Linked DNA regions of Arabidopsis thaliana. The protein of the gene in region 1 interacts with the protein of each later gene in a pairwise test. Each region holds a gene or a part of one and is shown in the gene's direction. Other genes may lie near its edges.

The links.
Region 2: the proteins of NPSN11 (region 1) and DER2.2 interact in a protein complementation assay, tested with the Arabidopsis thaliana proteins (one large-scale study listed by BioGRID).

Annotation. Positions count from the first base shown.
Region 1 is NC_003071.7:14,827,132-14,835,740, forward strand, and holds NPSN11 (Putative plant snare 11), read left to right. Parts: upstream 1-3,494; 5' UTR 3,495-3,955; coding exon 3,956-4,032; intron 4,033-4,125; coding exon 4,126-4,218; intron 4,219-4,292; coding exon 4,293-4,424; intron 4,425-4,501; coding exon 4,502-4,596; intron 4,597-4,720; coding exon 4,721-4,800; intron 4,801-4,951; coding exon 4,952-5,008; intron 5,009-5,140; coding exon 5,141-5,233; intron 5,234-5,336; coding exon 5,337-5,411; intron 5,412-5,752; coding exon 5,753-5,848; 3' UTR 5,849-6,286; downstream 6,287-8,609. Other genes in the region: AT2G35170 (Histone H3 K4-specific methyltransferase SET7/9 family protein), read left to right, coding at 484-1,505, 1,958-2,216, 2,301-2,474; AT2G35200 (DUF740 family protein), read left to right, coding at 6,757-7,362. UniProt on the Arabidopsis thaliana protein: t-SNARE involved in diverse vesicle trafficking and membrane fusion processes, including cell plate formation.
Region 2 is NC_003075.7:2,456,344-2,463,854, forward strand, and holds DER2.2 (DERLIN-2.2), read left to right. Parts: upstream 1-3,509; 5' UTR 3,510-3,791; coding exon 3,792-3,890; intron 3,891-3,984; coding exon 3,985-4,084; exon of another isoform or gene 4,085-4,255; coding exon 4,256-4,470; intron 4,471-4,542; coding exon 4,543-4,626; intron 4,627-4,705; coding exon 4,706-4,759; intron 4,760-4,852; coding exon 4,853-5,035; 3' UTR 5,036-5,396; downstream 5,397-7,511. Other genes in the region: KEA3 (K+ efflux antiporter 3), read left to right, coding at 12-83, 157-252, 342-503, 597-686, 776-1,147; CLS (cardiolipin synthase), read right to left, coding at 5,561-5,654, 5,773-5,867, 5,956-6,030, 6,170-6,255, 6,657-6,708, 6,872-6,946, 7,030-7,096, 7,180-7,511. UniProt on the Arabidopsis thaliana protein: May be involved in the degradation process of specific misfolded endoplasmic reticulum (ER) luminal proteins.

The DNA of each region.
Region 1 (8,609 bases):
ACAAACAATTATTGGTTGGTAATTAACAACCAAACCACCAAATAAATTAAATAGAGAAAAATAAATACACCATATAATAAAACACCATTACTTTAAAATCACCTGAAGTTTTTGCAATTAGAGATACACACAATTTTGGAATCTTAGAGAATAAGCTCTCTTAATAATTTGTTTAATCATTAAGTAAAAATTGTCATCAAGGACTGGGTCAACAAGTGGCAAATGGATGGCATTTTAGTAAATAACTGAAACTAAGAGGTGTTTATTGTGTTCTCACGTGGATCTCTTACCTTAGTTTCAAAAGTTCAAAATTGAGCTCTTCTCTTCTTCTTCCTTCTTCTTCTTCTTCGCGAAAACTTGGAAACTGTTTTAGGAACAAAAACCAGAGGCTTTGATTTGGAAAAAACCCTAATTTTCAACAACCCTAAATCCCCTACCATTTCTCCCCAAATCCTCTTTCCAAGTTCCATACTCTTTATGTAAATGCATCTGAAGAAATCATCTGTAACAGAACGACGATTAATCGGGAAAGACGATTCCGATCCAAACCAAATCCCCAATCCGATTCATCATCATCATCAGACCCAGAATAAAAATCGAACCGCCATTGATAATAAAGGCTCTGGCTTCACTAAGTATAATCATCCCCAAGGTCAGAATCATCATCACACGGTTGATATCCCAACCGGTGTTGACCATTTCCGACGAAGAAGCGCACGGGCACGATCAGGATCGATTTCTTCATTTTTCCCATCAAATCTTTTGTCTTCTCTTTCTTCCTATCGTCCTGTGATTGCTCGGTTCTTGAGGAAGCTTCTACGCTATACCCTTAGAGCCCGTTTGATTTGTTTCCATCTTCGTTTCTTGCTTCTTCTCGCTGTCCCTCCTTTATACATCTTCTTCCTTGTTATCAATCTTCGTATCTTCCTTCGTCTAGTCTTTGTGATTATCGCTTTATCCTTCATCCTCTCGATCTCTCTCAGATTCGCTCTTCCTCACTTAACATCAATTCGTCTTTTTGTCGCACGCTTGCTGACATTTATCCCTGCCAGATTCTCTTCCTCTCAGCCGAGCACTGACCGAGTTGTTTGGTCCATTGGGTCGAAGCCAGTTGCGGAGAATAATAAGACAAATTCAGGATCTTGGGTTCAGAAGTATGGCACTAATGATATGTATGAAGGAGAGTTTCATAGAGGAAAGTGTTCAGGAAGTGGAGTTTATTACTATTCTATGAAAGGCAAATACGAAGGAGAGTGGATTGATGGGAAATATGATGGTTATGGAGTAGAAACATGGTCTAAAGGGAGTAGGTATCGAGGTCAATATAGGTTAGGTCTAAGACATGGAATTGGAGTTTATACGTTTTATACAGGAGATGTGTATGCTGGTGAATGGTCTAATGGGCAGTGCCATGGTTGTGGTGTATATACCTCTGAGGATGGAAGTAGATATGACGGAGAGTTCAAGTGGGGTGTCAAACATGGCCTTGGTAGTTACCATTTCAGGTCAGCATTGTTCTTTTTTACTCTGCATAGTCATTTGAGTTTCTGGAATATGGTTGTGCTTTGACCTGTAATGGTGGTGCATTAGATCCCTGTATATGTTGCTCGTCTAAGTGTGTTTGCTATCTTGAGTTCCATTGTTTTTGAAGGGTCGTGTAGTTGTCTTTCTCTTTATTGTTGCCCTTGTTCACTTGGGTGTGTGAATCTGGAGGACCTCTGAAAGGTTTTCAATTTCGATTTCTGACATCAGATGGATAACTGGGTTTTGTTTCCTGCTTCTTGTGGTTATCCTCACCTTATAAGCTAGTCTAGTGAACATCAAAGTTTAGGCTTTTGTGTTACTCTCAGTTAGCATTGATCTTAAGCAATTGCATGAAGCACTGGTGGTCCAGTATGCTTTAGCGGTACCATGGCTTTAAAACTACATTTAACTTGGAGTTATGCTGCTGTTGCAGAAATGGTGATGCGTATGCTGGGGAGTATTTTGCAGACAAGATGCATGGTTTTGGAGTGTATCACTTTGCGAACGGGCATAAGTATGAAGGAGCTTGGCACGAGGGAAGAAGGCAAGGGCTTGGTATGTATACTTTCAGGAATGGTGATACACAAGCCGGTCATTGGGAAGACGGTGTACTCAGTTGTCCTACCGAGCAGACTATCCGTCCTGGATCATCTTTTACCATAAGCCATTCCAAAGTTGTTGATGCTGTTGAGGTAAAAGTTAACTAGTAGTTTATCTTTAGTACTGCAAACACCATATATGTATTAAACTAAGCTTGTTCTCTCTTTCTCCTTCAGCAAGCAAGGAAAGCAGCTGAGAAAGCACATGAAGTTGTGAAAGTGGAAGAGAGGATCAAGAGAGCGGTGATGGCTGCAAATAGAGCAGCGAATGCAGCTAGAGTAGCAGCCGTGAAGGCTGTCCAATCCCAGACCTTTCACAGGAATGATGGCGATCTTGAAACCAATTGTTGAGCATAGGTTAGAAGAGATCTTCCTTAACAGGTTTTCTTGTTCCTTTATGAGCAAAGCTAGTTTGAAACTGTAGATAATAAACTAGAGATGATCTTTGTATATCAACAAGAAAAAAATTGGGTCTGCTTCATAGAATGCAACTGACATACATGTAGCCAAAAATCCCTATCTTGATTAAACAATTAGAAGAATCTGGTATATCAGTCTTATAACAAAAGATGAATCTGGTCTTGAAAAGTTGTGTATGAGTAGAAGAAGTCTAGCTCTCAGTTTGTTCTCTGAGCCTTCTGATGGTACTCCTAACAGTTACAGCACTAGCAGTATTCATCGTGTAGGCACCTCCAGCCTTAACTTTCCCACAGTCCTTACATCCCCAAATTCCAACAGCCTTCCGTTTAACAGCATACTTGCCACAGAACTAGCAGAAGTATTTGCTGTGCTGACTCACTTCCATCTTCTTGATTTGCTTCCTAAGACTGGCACCATATCTGGTCCCTTAACAGACAACATTTCAACAGATTCAGAAACAATGTAAAATGGGCTGAAAATCTGAAATCAAAAGAGGGATCTTATGATTCACACAGCAGACAACATCTCATGCTATGAAGCATTTATTTGAATGAACTAAAAGCAAGGATTTAGGCCGTTTTTATTTGGGCCAAGCTAGATGACATTATACACTTCCCTTAATTAGTTGAATTCGGTTTTTCTTAAGTACACTTTTTTTTTTTCTTTGTCCTAATTTTTCTTATTTTCAAATTTAGTTTGGATTTCGATTTTTGCATTTACCGGTTTGTATAATAAATAAACGATTCTAATTTAATGAAGGACTGAAAGTTTTGTTTCGTTTTCGAATTAATTATTATGATGTGCTCTTTATTTTAATTTCATTTAAAGTCAATTATCAAAATTAAGCTAATGTAAAGAGTGTGGATCGTCAGATCTGGAGAGGTGACCAATCGTACGTCCCAGGTTATATGAGTTCCAACACTGACAAACGATGTCGTGGCGGGTCCCACTGGTTTTCGGTAACGCAGTTTTTCAAAATCTCTCATTTTCGTCCCTTCGAGCCAAATCAATGGCAAAAAATTAGCTTTTAGAATTCCCCAAGAACAAAAACAAAAAATGTCCGAGAGAAATTAGGGAAAAACAAAACAAATAAAATCTGGGTGTAGGGGAGAGAGAGCTCGTGCTCGTGATTTTGATATCTATCTCTTCGTTATCGATTTTGAACATCCACATTGTTCTTAGATCTGAAGAAAAAAAACACGGGTTCTGTTATTACGATTTGCTCGGCGATTTTGACACCAGGCTTTCAATTCTTTTCGTTGGAGGTGATTCGATTTCAGATCCATCGGATCTAATCTCGGCGAGTCGATTCGTGGTCGACATTTTTCAAAAACTGCTCGCGTGGATCTGAAGAAGAGACATTGTTGTCTTTTGTATATCGGCACTGAATTTTTCTGGGAATCTGTGTAAAGATGGATCCAATATCAGCGGTTAGCGAAGAGCTGGCTGAGATCGAAGGACAAATCAATGACATCTTCCGTGCTTTATCGTGAGAATGAATCTCTCTCTAGCGTTTTCTCTCCATTTGTGATTTGGTATTTGTGTCTATATAATAATGTTTTGATGTTTTTGTTTTCTACAGAAATGGATTCCAGAAGCTGGAGAAGATCAAAGATGCTAATAGGCAGAGTAGGCAGCTGGAAGAACTCACTGACAAAATGCGTGACTGTAAGAGGTATACATTCATTGAATCTGGTGTTTGATTATCCAATGATGATGATGATGATGCCTTGTTCTTCTTCTTTGCAGCCTTATTAAAGATTTCGATAGGGAAATCAAAAGCTTGGAAAGCGGTAATGATGCCAGCACTAACCGGATGTTGAACGATAGACGACAATCTATGGTTAAGGAACTCAACTCATATGTTGCTCTTAAGAAGAAGTAGGTCACACTTTTGCTAATTGCTTAACTGATGCTCATATTTATGGTGATTGATGATAATGAGGATGGTTATACAGATACTCATCAAACCTAGCAAGCAATAACAAGCGAGTAGATCTTTTCGATGGACCTGGAGAAGAACACATGGAAGAAAATGTCTTATTAGCTTCAAGTAAGTCTTTAAATCTCGTATTTTGCGACCAACTAACAATGAGATAGATATTTATTGCACTTTGTTGTTATATGATTACATACAACCTAACTAGAGTATTTACTGGAAACTTAATAACTCTCAGACATGTCCAATCAAGAGTTAATGGATAAAGGAAACTCAATGATGGATGACACAGATCAAGCTATTGAGAGAGGGAAAAAGGTCCGTTTTCAGATTATATGAATGTCTTATTGTCTCTTGAAATTTCAGTCTAATGTTCATGGAGCCGTGAATGCCATGTGATAACTTGTGTCCATTTTTCCATCTTCACTAAAGCAAAATCTCACTGCTTTTTTTGTGTCTGTGACAACAGATTGTACAAGAAACTATAAATGTGGGAACAGATACTTCAGCAGCTCTCAAGGCTCAGGTGTGTAGTTAGCCCACACTTGTTTCTTTCCAAACAGTCCTGCTTCTACCTGAATCTCATTTTTTTCCAAGATTGTGTATTTGTGTGTGAATTCTGAGAATTATTAAGATAGTTTACATTTTCCTTGTTCAGACCGAGCAAATGAGTAGAGTTGTCAATGAGCTCGATTCTATTCATTTCTCACTCAAGAAAGCCTCCAAGCTGGTCAAGGAAATTGGTAGGCAGGTTAGTCTCATAAATCTCCTTATTTCTTCTTTATATCATCATTACTTGTTATCTGCAGCTCCTTCTTGTCCCTTTCACTTACTCTCTGTCCTTCTTTTATCAGGTTGCCACTGACAAATGTATTATGGCATTTCTTTTCCTTATCGTCATTGGTGTCATAGCAATCATCATCGTCAAGGTACATCTCATCTCCTTTCTTATTCAAATGTGCACACACACTTGGATACTTGTTTGAGTTAAATAGATTTCGGTGTTCATCATTATTTTTTCTTGAATAATATGAGGTTATGTTTTTTACTTTGCTGGATACCTTGTTGATCGAAGAACCTATAAAAAGCACAAATACCCACAATTTTGTCTTTCTCCATTATTCAGTTATGCAATATATAAAGTTGTCTCCTATGTGATTGTTAATTTGATCTCACTTCTAGATTCATCTGCAATATCTTTCCTTCCAACGCTGTTATCTTGTTCACATTATCATACATGTAACTTCTTCTTTTTATTTCTTTTGTATAGATTGTGAACCCAAACAACAAAGACATTCGCGACATACCGGGTGTGGGCCTAGCTCCACCAGCCATGAACAGACGTCTGCTCTGGAACCATTACTGAAAAAAAAATATCTCATTTTCACACCATTCAAAATACTGGTACGTTGCACACTTTTTTGTCCCATACACATCTTGATCCTCCCCTTAGTCATGTTGTTGTAGATGAAACCGCCTCACTTGAGAAAGTAACCAGTTTCGATTCACATGGCTCTTGGCTGCTGCACATTTGAGCAGTCACAGGAATCAAATTCCCTTTCGTTAAAAACCCAGGATCAAAACCATCTTTTTTAGCTCATGTGTTTGTATAAGGATGACTCTTTTGTGTTCTATCATATGTACGTGTATTTTTAAAACGTCTTCTCTGTTTCATGTTCTGGTAATAAAAACTTGTTTCACTGGTTCAAAGTTGTAACTGAGTTGTATCATATCCGATATATATTAGTATATGACTTCACTCTCATTATCAGCGAAAAAAATTACGGTAAACAGACCAAAAAGTCTTTACAAACAATGACCAAAAAAACAATACGATTTTACAAGCTGCCGAATCTACAAATTGCACTAATCTGTATCATAGTTTCATGTAACAACAATGATGTTTTTAGAGTTTCTAATAAGAAAATTTTTAATTGATGTAACAAAAAAAAATGTGTAGTGTGGGAAATTTTAATATATATCAGTGAGTTTAGATAAAAATTTGAAAGTTTTAACTACAATTACTAAATTAACCACGTAATAGTGAGTCGTAAATCTACAAAGGATATGCGAGGGATCGATAATCAAGGCATATAATTCGGAGCTGATGAGTTAAGCTTTAGTTAGTTTGACTAACTACGGTTATGGTTAAGACTTAAGCAGAGTGGGGCTTATTAGTGGATTAATCTTTATTTGATTACTCCAATATTAAAACCTTTATCTCTCCATCTCTCTCTCCTTCACAACAAGCAACTGAGATTCAGAGACAAGAAAATGCAACGCGAGAAAACTCAAACGAATTTGCGTTTGGACGAAGGAGGAGGCAGCGTTTGGCAGAAATGCTCAAGACACGAAGGTCGTTTTGTCTGCGTTGCCGGTGTTTGTCCTTATTGCCTCCACGAACGCCTCTCCTCTCTCTGTCCCGATTGTGCTCACGATCTTCCCTGTTCGTGTACTCCACGCGCCTCCGTGTCTTCCCGTGGAGAAGGTGACGTTTCGTTCGCCCGTATTGGGTCGGTTGGCCGTGTTGCCAACTTGATTGAATGCGAACCGGCGTTTCGGAGGTCGACATCGATTACGGGTCCTTATTTCTGGTCTGCTAAACCGGAACCGATATTAGAAACTGAGAAGGATCTTAAACCGGGTCGTGGACGTTGGCTATGGAGATTGTTCAGAGGAAACAGAGAAGAAGAGACGAAAATAAAGGCTGCTAAGGTTATGAAGAAGTCGAATTCCGTTGCCGGAGAAGTTCTATTCTCACCGACGCCGGTGACTAGTAAGGGAAATGGTTGGTACTTTCCAAGTCCGATTAAGGTTTTCAGACAATCAAGAGTCTCCAAGATGATTTTTCAACAAAGATCTCCATTGTACAGAGGTTAACTTTTAGTTTTATTCTAGTCGTGTGTTCTGTTTTTTTTTTTCCTTTTGTTTTACGTAAAAGTTGATTAATGTTTTCTTTTCATAATGAAAATGTTGATGTTACACTTATACATAAAAATCGGATGAACCTGATAAATTCGTTGATGTTCATGTTGCTCTTTACAATTTTGGTTCATGCCGATAATTTTCTGTTATCGACATAGTACTTACGACAAACTTAAGATTACGAAAATAGGTGCAACTTATTTGTAGTACCATCAACCTCCTTTTGTTATTTTGATCAGGGAATTTTAAACTCATCTAAATTCAGTTGAATGTTGAAAATAATCATTGTTAGTTATTAGAAACCTAACCGTTTATTCCTTCAAGAACTTTATATTTCAATCAATGTAAAACTCTTCAGTCTTCACAAGAAAATTTTTATATTCCAAATGTAACAAATCTTCAGTCTTCAGAAGAAAAAAATAGAACACAACATACTCATAGTGATGTTTTAAACTACAAAGTACAAAATCTCAATTATCGAGAAGTAAAAAAGTTTCATGGCTTTTAAAATATATTTTTAAGAAAATGGGAAGAAGTAACATGGATACATGTGCGTGGAAGCCCTACCAAACACGTGAGTGAAGCCGTCTCCATATCCTAAAGAAGAACGTGGAAATAGGGAAATGTGAGGGCTTGTTAAGCAGATAGAGAACAGAGCCGACAAAGAGTGGCGACAAACCTACGCACACGGTTGCACCTTCTCTCCATTGTCATCATCACCAAATTCATTACCCTTCACTTCTCCACTTTCTTCAAAATAATTCCCTCAACCTTTTGATTCTTCTTAAATCGACCCAATATAATATTTTAATCCATATCATACAAAACTAAGAATATAGAAGAGCTATGGCTACATTTTGACAAGAGTACATTAATCTCAACGATACCAATCTTATTTTCTTGGTCTCTTGTACATCAACTTTAACGGATATTTTACATTGTTGGCCACTCCCAAACTAACTCATGTGTTTGGTGTTCCTAATTTTGACTTTAGTCAATACATTGACAAACAAACCCAAATCAATAGAGGTATAATTTAAACTGGTTCTTATACATTAAGAAATAAATTATATATTTTTCGTTAACAAAAGATAAATACAATCGAATTTGCTTTTATCTATATAAGCTCTTCATATAGGAGATTATTAGACATATGCTAATTAGTTTTCTTTCTACCGATGGTACGCACAGAATATGCTAAT
Region 2 (7,511 bases), on another chromosome or scaffold:
CAATTGTGCAGAAAATAGGTGAAGATGTGAACTTCGATGTTAGTGAATCAATTGTCATCATTGGATTTGGACAAATGGGTCAGGTAAAAGTCATCATTTGCTTTCCTGGAAAAGTTGTGCTAAGTGGTTTCTCATCGAGTCGATATGATTTTGCAGGTTCTGGCCAATTTTTTGTCAACGCCATTGGTCTCAGATAGTGATCTTGTGGGATGGCCTTATATTGGTTTTGATCTGAATCCTGCTGTAGTGAAGGTCTGTAACAGATAACTTCGTTTGTTCCTGACCTGATCAAATTTTTGGCATTCTAAACTAGTTTTTTCTTTATGGTGGTGGTTTGGTAGGAATCAAGGAAACTCGGTTTCCCGATATTGTATGGAGACGGATCTCGACCATCGGTTTTGCAATCTGCAGGGGTTTCATCTCCTAAAGCTATCATGATAATGTATAAAGGCAAGAAGAGAACCACTGAGGCTGTTCAAAGACTCCGTCTTGCCTTCCCCGGGGTTATTTCTCTCTTCCTTCTTCCTTTTGTCAATAAAATCGTTTGAGACATCAAGTTTAAGTGACAACAACTGTTCCTTTTAACATATTACCAGAGTCCTATTTACGCAAGAGCTCAAGATTTACCGCATCTCCTTGAACTAAAGAAAGCAGGAGCCACAGATGCAATTCTCGAAAATGCAGAGGTAAAAAACTTCCAAAAGATGTCTGCTCTTTTATGATCACAGTAAGATTTCTTTCTGAACGAGTTTGGTTGTTTGTTTCGGGTTTATAGACAAGTTTACAGCTCGGTTCGAAGCTGTTGACAGGATTTGGAGTAATGTCTGACGACGTAAGCTTTCTAAGTAAAGTTTTCAGAGATTCAATGGAGATACAAGCTCAAGAAGAAATCACAGCTAGTGAAACAAATGCTGGTTTGAAGCCAATGCAAATGAAAGCATCTGATATAAACGTAGTGTCTGCTGCAACACAAAAACAAGTCCAGCTCATGAAGCCAATGCAAATGAAAGCTTCTGATTCAAACTCAGATTCTGCAGCAGAGATTCTTCAAGAAACAGCTGGTTTGAGTCAGCCTCCTGAGATTGATGATTCTTCTGTGAATATAGATAATGGATTTGTTGGTAAAGCTGATAAAGCTCAAGATTAAAATTGCTCAAAAATTCTAACACTTTTTTTTTTTTTTCTGAAATGTGCAGCCAATATTCCAAACTAAAAGAAACAATTTTTTCTTTTCTTTTCTGTGATTATTATTATTATTATTATTTTTCCTCACTATCACTGTCGCTAAAAAGCCAATAGTTAGCTCAAATTCATTAAATATCTTCACTGTCTAGGTACTATTGAATCATGGATATTAGTGCCAATATAAATTCGAACATAATCCAATGTTGGTCTTTACAATGAAATGAATTGAAACAGATTTGATTATATTACTAAAGAAACAAAAAAAAATATAGTAAAAAAATATGAAATCCACACAAATTAAACATGGAAATTTAGAAAGAAAAAAAGTAGTTTCTAAATCTTAAAACATAGATATTGATTTTAATCCTTGATCAAATAATCCCTCATAAAATTGTAATTTAAGTCGTTTTGTTTAGGGTTATATTACTATCTATACTCAGATGATCGGAAAATTAATAAACTATGCATGATAAAAAATGGGGTTGCGGGTATGATATTTATGGGGTTGTGGGTATTATAAACATAACGATATAATATCTATTTGTGTTTCGACACGAATCAAAGATAGTGGGACGCTTAAGTAACATTAATATCACGATAATCTCTTATCTGCTAACACGAGCCTTTTTATTCGAAGCCTTTTAAAATAAGTCTCAAACAATTGTGTACGAGGATAATTTGATAACAGGATAATTTCATATCGATTCCACACGTTGTCGCTTTGGGTTTTGAACAAGAATCAAAACTTATATTGCTATTTAATAATATTAGTATCGCGATAATCTCGTATCTGCTAACGCAAAACTAATAACACTCTCTGATTACTAACCGTGTACGGCTAACATGATAAGTTTGTATCTGATAAACACGATAACGTTTAGTTAGTTTTTTTTTAAAAACCCATAAGCAAAAGCCTACAAGTGGAAATGGTAACGAAGTTAGTCGTTAAAACTACTAGCAGATAATTAAAATAATAACGAGACGATGTCAATTTGTGTTTTGACACGAATCAAAGCTAGTGAGACGCTTCGGTAACATTAAAACATACACTCTTATCCGCTAACGCGAGCCTCTTGTTTGTAGCCTTTTAAATTAAGTCTCAACGAGCTTAGCTGGTGACAATGTTAGTCGATATACCTTCTAGCAAATAAGCAAAACAATAATGAGAGTTTCGCAGGTTGTATTCTGATGTTTTGCAAAAATAATCAAAACTATTTACATTTTCTGATAATCAACGGTATCACGATAATCTTATAACCAATAACAAAATAATTTCGTGGCTGCTAATCACGATATCATTTTAGTTAATTTATTAAAAAAATCCCATAAACAAAGGCCGAGAGGTTGAAATGGTAACAATGTTGGGCGATAACACATTCTGATAACATTAGTATCACGCTAATCCCTTATCTTCTGATAAACATTAATCCTCTCGCCGCGAAGTTCTTTGCCAAAAGCAATCAGACGGGGAGGGAGAAGAATCGGCAGCATCGTTCCTAGAAAAAAAAACATAAATCCTTGTAAAACAACTCAAGATAGGAAGTCAAAATCAAAATAAAAAGGAAACATCTATATCGATTACTAGCAAAAGACGCGAGGAACAAAGCACAAATCTGATAGATGAACTTCTGTTCGAAAAACAGAACGAAATAAAACAAGAATTTGGAGGAATCATTTCTTTTTTTCTTACGCCTCAAAACGACAGTCTCTTATCTTCATACAAAACTGGAAAGAGACGAGTAACTACGTAAGAAAAAAAAACCATTAATAAAATAACACAACTTCCCAAATATATCTACATAAAATCTTCTTCTACACTACTGCAATAATATCCCTCTACAAGCTACAACTTACGCAATCGATAATATAGGGGTACATGTGTAAAATTTTTGTTAACAGTGTTGGGCAAACAGTGCAAAATGAAGAGAGTGAATTAACAAGTTTTCGAAGCATATCAAGTGATATTTTTGTTTATATGAGTTTTGAGGACTGACTTCGTCTAAGGTTTGTTCGTGGCAATAAAAATAAAGGTTCGAGTTTTTTGGGAGCTGAGACAATCACGCAGATGTCTGAGCTTCACAGATTATTCTCAGACAATGTTTATTCTTCAAACGACTACTGATATCGTTTGTGCTTTCTTTGTAGTATTTTTTGTTGTAATCATAGGTTTTTTAGTTTTAGTTATAGATTTTAGTTTTCTGTTTTTCTTTTCTAAAATGATATATAAATTATAAATACTTTTTTTGTTATCAGATATTGTTTAAGACTCGACCCAAAATTATAAATACATTGATGAAAAAAAATAGTATATAGCTGATGTAATCCACGCGCTTGCTGATTAGTCGTGCTCATGTAATTAAACAAATATCGCAAATGTTAAACTATTATACACATATAAATTTCTGTATATACAAAACAAACGAAGAAGACGAATCTCTCAGTTTCGTCGTTCGTTTCGAAGTTGTGCGTTGGTGAAATTTGAAATCTGAATACACTCATTGCAAACCTTAGAAGAAGAAGAAGAAGAAGAAGAAGAAGCTTCCATAGATTCCGTTGGGCTTTTACTGTGTTTGATTGATCGGATCGATTGCGATTACGGAGAAGATATGGCTCAGGCTGTAGAAGAATGGTATAAACAGATGCCGATTATCACTCGCTCTTATCTCACGGCGGCTGTTATCACCACCGTCGGATGTTCCCTCGATGTACGTGCTTGCTTGCTTATTCGCGAATCTTTTTTGGGGTTCTCTGAAATTCTCTAAATTAGGGTTTCATATTCTGATTGTTTTTGTTTTGCAGATCATATCTCCATATAACCTTTATTTGAATCCGACACTTGTGGTGAAGCAATACCAATATTGGCGTCTCGTTACTAATTTCTTGTATTTCCGGAAGATGGGTAATTTTCCCTTAACACTACTCTATGAAACTGGATACAACATTTGTGTGCTTATTACTTTCATATGAAGCTCTTGTCTTTGTCACATTATTAGCTCTAGGCTGCTACTTGTTAATAGCGTTGTGACTGATTGATTGCTTATAAACAAATATGTGTTTGGGGTTGTTGTAGATTTGGACTTCATGTTCCATATGTTCTTTCTCGCACGATACTGCAAACTCCTTGAAGAAAACTCATTCAGGGGAAAGACTGCTGATTTCCTATACATGCTCCTATTTGGAGCATCTGTTTTAACCGGTATTGTACTTATCGGTGGAATGATACCATACTTGTCAGCATCATTTGCTAAAATCATCTTCCTCAGCAACTCATTAACTTTCATGATGGTTGGTAACTTCTGTTTCCCACAAATCTAAGTCGCCTCTAAATATCAGCTTATAGTCTCTTGTGTTCCACAGGTCTATGTATGGAGCAAACAAAATCCTTATATTCACATGAGTTTCCTTGGTCTGTTCACCTTCACAGCAGCTTACCTACCATGGGTGAGTTTAACTCTCTCGTTTCCCTAAACTTCCACCGGAATGAATAAATAACATCTTCTGCAAATTCTGGCTTTTGCAGGTGCTTCTTGGCTTCTCTATCCTTGTTGGTGCCAGTGCTTGGGTGGATCTTTTGGTATATACTCAGATTATCCCAAAAAATTTCTTCTCCAGTCTCTTTTGATCTTTTGTCACCCAAGTTAACTTCAGTCTGATCAAAACATTTCAGGGTATGATAGCAGGTCACGCTTACTACTTTCTGGCTGAGGTTTATCCGCGAATGACTAATCGTCGTCCATTAAAGACTCCATCATTCCTCAAAGCGTTATTTGCAGATGAACCAGTTGTGGTTGCACGGCCAGAAGATGTGAGGTTTGCTGCTGCGCCTTTCGATGAAATCCACCAAGACTGATTCTGTCATCTTACATTTCCCAAACCTAAACACCCGAATCAGTAGTTTGGCTTGTGGATCAGATATAAATGGTGCAAAGGCAGATGATACACAAAAGTCTATTTTGACTCTGACACGTAGTTGCGACCCACACACCCTAGTTTCTAGTAGTTGGGTGTGTTTTGGTTCCTTCTCTTTCCTCCCATCTCTTCATCTTTTTGTGTATACAAACATCGTTTGCTTTTAGTGGTTATTGATATGAACACACTCAATTTGTACACAACCTCTACTAGTGTCGCAATGTTTTAGCGAGGGAACATGTTTTGAATTCACTGCCCGACTCAGATATCAGAAGAAATGTACTTTTGTTCAGATATCAGAACAAATGTTTCATTGCTTTTAGTACATTTTTTTTCCTTTTCTATTTCAGTTAGCAGTAGAAAACAGTGAGAGCTGCGTATTCCGGAAAACAACAAGACATGTTCAAGCTTCTTTAATTAAGCATGTGCCTCGTGTGTGAAGTTTATAAATGTTGGAAACTAGAAACTATGATCTCTTAATCATAGATATAGGTCTCTTCTTCCAGTATTGTACACCATAAGCTGCAGTTGAAGCCATAGTCGTCGAAGCAACTAACCAGCTGGATACAAAACAACATGAGACCAATAACAAGATTTCAGAGAACACACTTCATATGTTTATAACTTTAAGGGTAGTGATTAGTCCAGCTGTGTGGTAATTCGAAAAAGACCTATTACCTTAGATAAGTGATCCATGTCTGGGTGTCTGGATTCCCAAACTCTGGTTGAAGTATTGCACCAGCGACTAGAGTCAACTGGAAAACTGTATTCACCTGTCGATAGACATGTTCCATTAACAAATCAGTTACACATACCAAAGATGCCAAGATGAGAACAAGCTGTATCACCTAGAGATCATACCTTGCTTATAAACAATGGTTCTACTTTCTGAGGACTTGAACCATCTAGATTGAAGAAGTCACTCCAAGTTTTCCACTGAAAGAAACAAGACCAATATGATTCCCATCAATAAATTTATTCGTGTTCTTGTTAAAGCATATGGTCGAGCAGGAAAAAAATGTAGGGAAACAAGAGAAATTAGTTTAGTGGTCTAGCTCAAGTTACAAAAATTCACCTTCCAGTCCAAGTTTAGTGCCCTTAGGTAAACTGCACCACCAACGAGTGCAACATCCCGTAACAACACAATTCCAACCAGTCCAGCTTTAGAGCACAAATGTCCCATGCATCCACCAAAATTGAGTATAGTATCAAAGATTTTTAAGAAGTTTAAAAGGTAGTAGTGCAATCTAGGACTAACACACACAGCCGAGTTTAGCAACTAGTTAATTAACTTAGTACGGTTTCCTCTTGATACATCCATGCAATCTTGTAAGGAGGTTTGTTCAAGGAGATCAAATAACTGTGCTTATGAAATTATGAATACGACAATTCTGATACATTTTTCCCAGGCGATCACTCAATTGGAGTGTAAATCAAAGCACATGTTCCTTATAAGAGAAAATTCCGCCCTTCAACTTTGTGAACTCTAGCTATTTCAAAGTTTCAATTGTAACTGCTAACTTATTATCTACCAGGAGTAAAAGAGGTAGAAGAATACTCACGATGTAAGAGATCCTTCTGCACCATTGCTACTGCTACACACCCGATAAGAACCTGAATTCAAAACACGAGCACAATCAAGAAAACGGAATTGAAATGAAATGAAACCTCACACATGTTTGCAGCTTGAAACTAACCTTAACTCTCAAACACATTCAGAGAACATCCACAATGAGCCAACAAAGTAAAACACATAATAGATAAAGAAAGACTTTACCTTGTCTGCAAGAGGATCAAGGTACGAGCCAACCACAGAGTTAATCTTCATCCTCCGAGCCACGTAACCATCTAACTACAAAATCAAGCATCTATTAATACAATGTTCTTCTTCCAATACTACAAAAAAGAAAAAAGAATCACAAAGAAGATGCATACCCAATCACTAGCTCCAGAAACAGCCAACCCTAAGAAAGCAGAAGAATACATCTCATTCGAGATCATCCTACAATAGAACCACAAACAAAGTCTCAGATTCTTCATTCTCCTAATATTATCTTCCTGAGGAATATATACTTCTATACTTACCACCAAAGCACAGGACCAGATACTAATCTCGCCATTGATATCATATTCGGCACATTAACAAAACTCTTGACTAATTTTCCACCATCTTCTTCCTTGGAATCGTTGCGATCCACCGTCAATATGTTTGGTACCACAGACTGTAACCCTAACTGTCTCGGAAACCTAGTTCTGCTTCTAATTCGATCCAATCTAAGATTCAGAGCTTCGACTTTTTTCAAAACAGAGCCGTTTCCGCGCCAGTGCAAAGGTGTCGCAGACTGGAGAAGTTTCCAAGGAGGAGAAGATAAGAAGAGAGGTCCATTAAGAGGAACGAACCATTTCGAAAGCGGAGA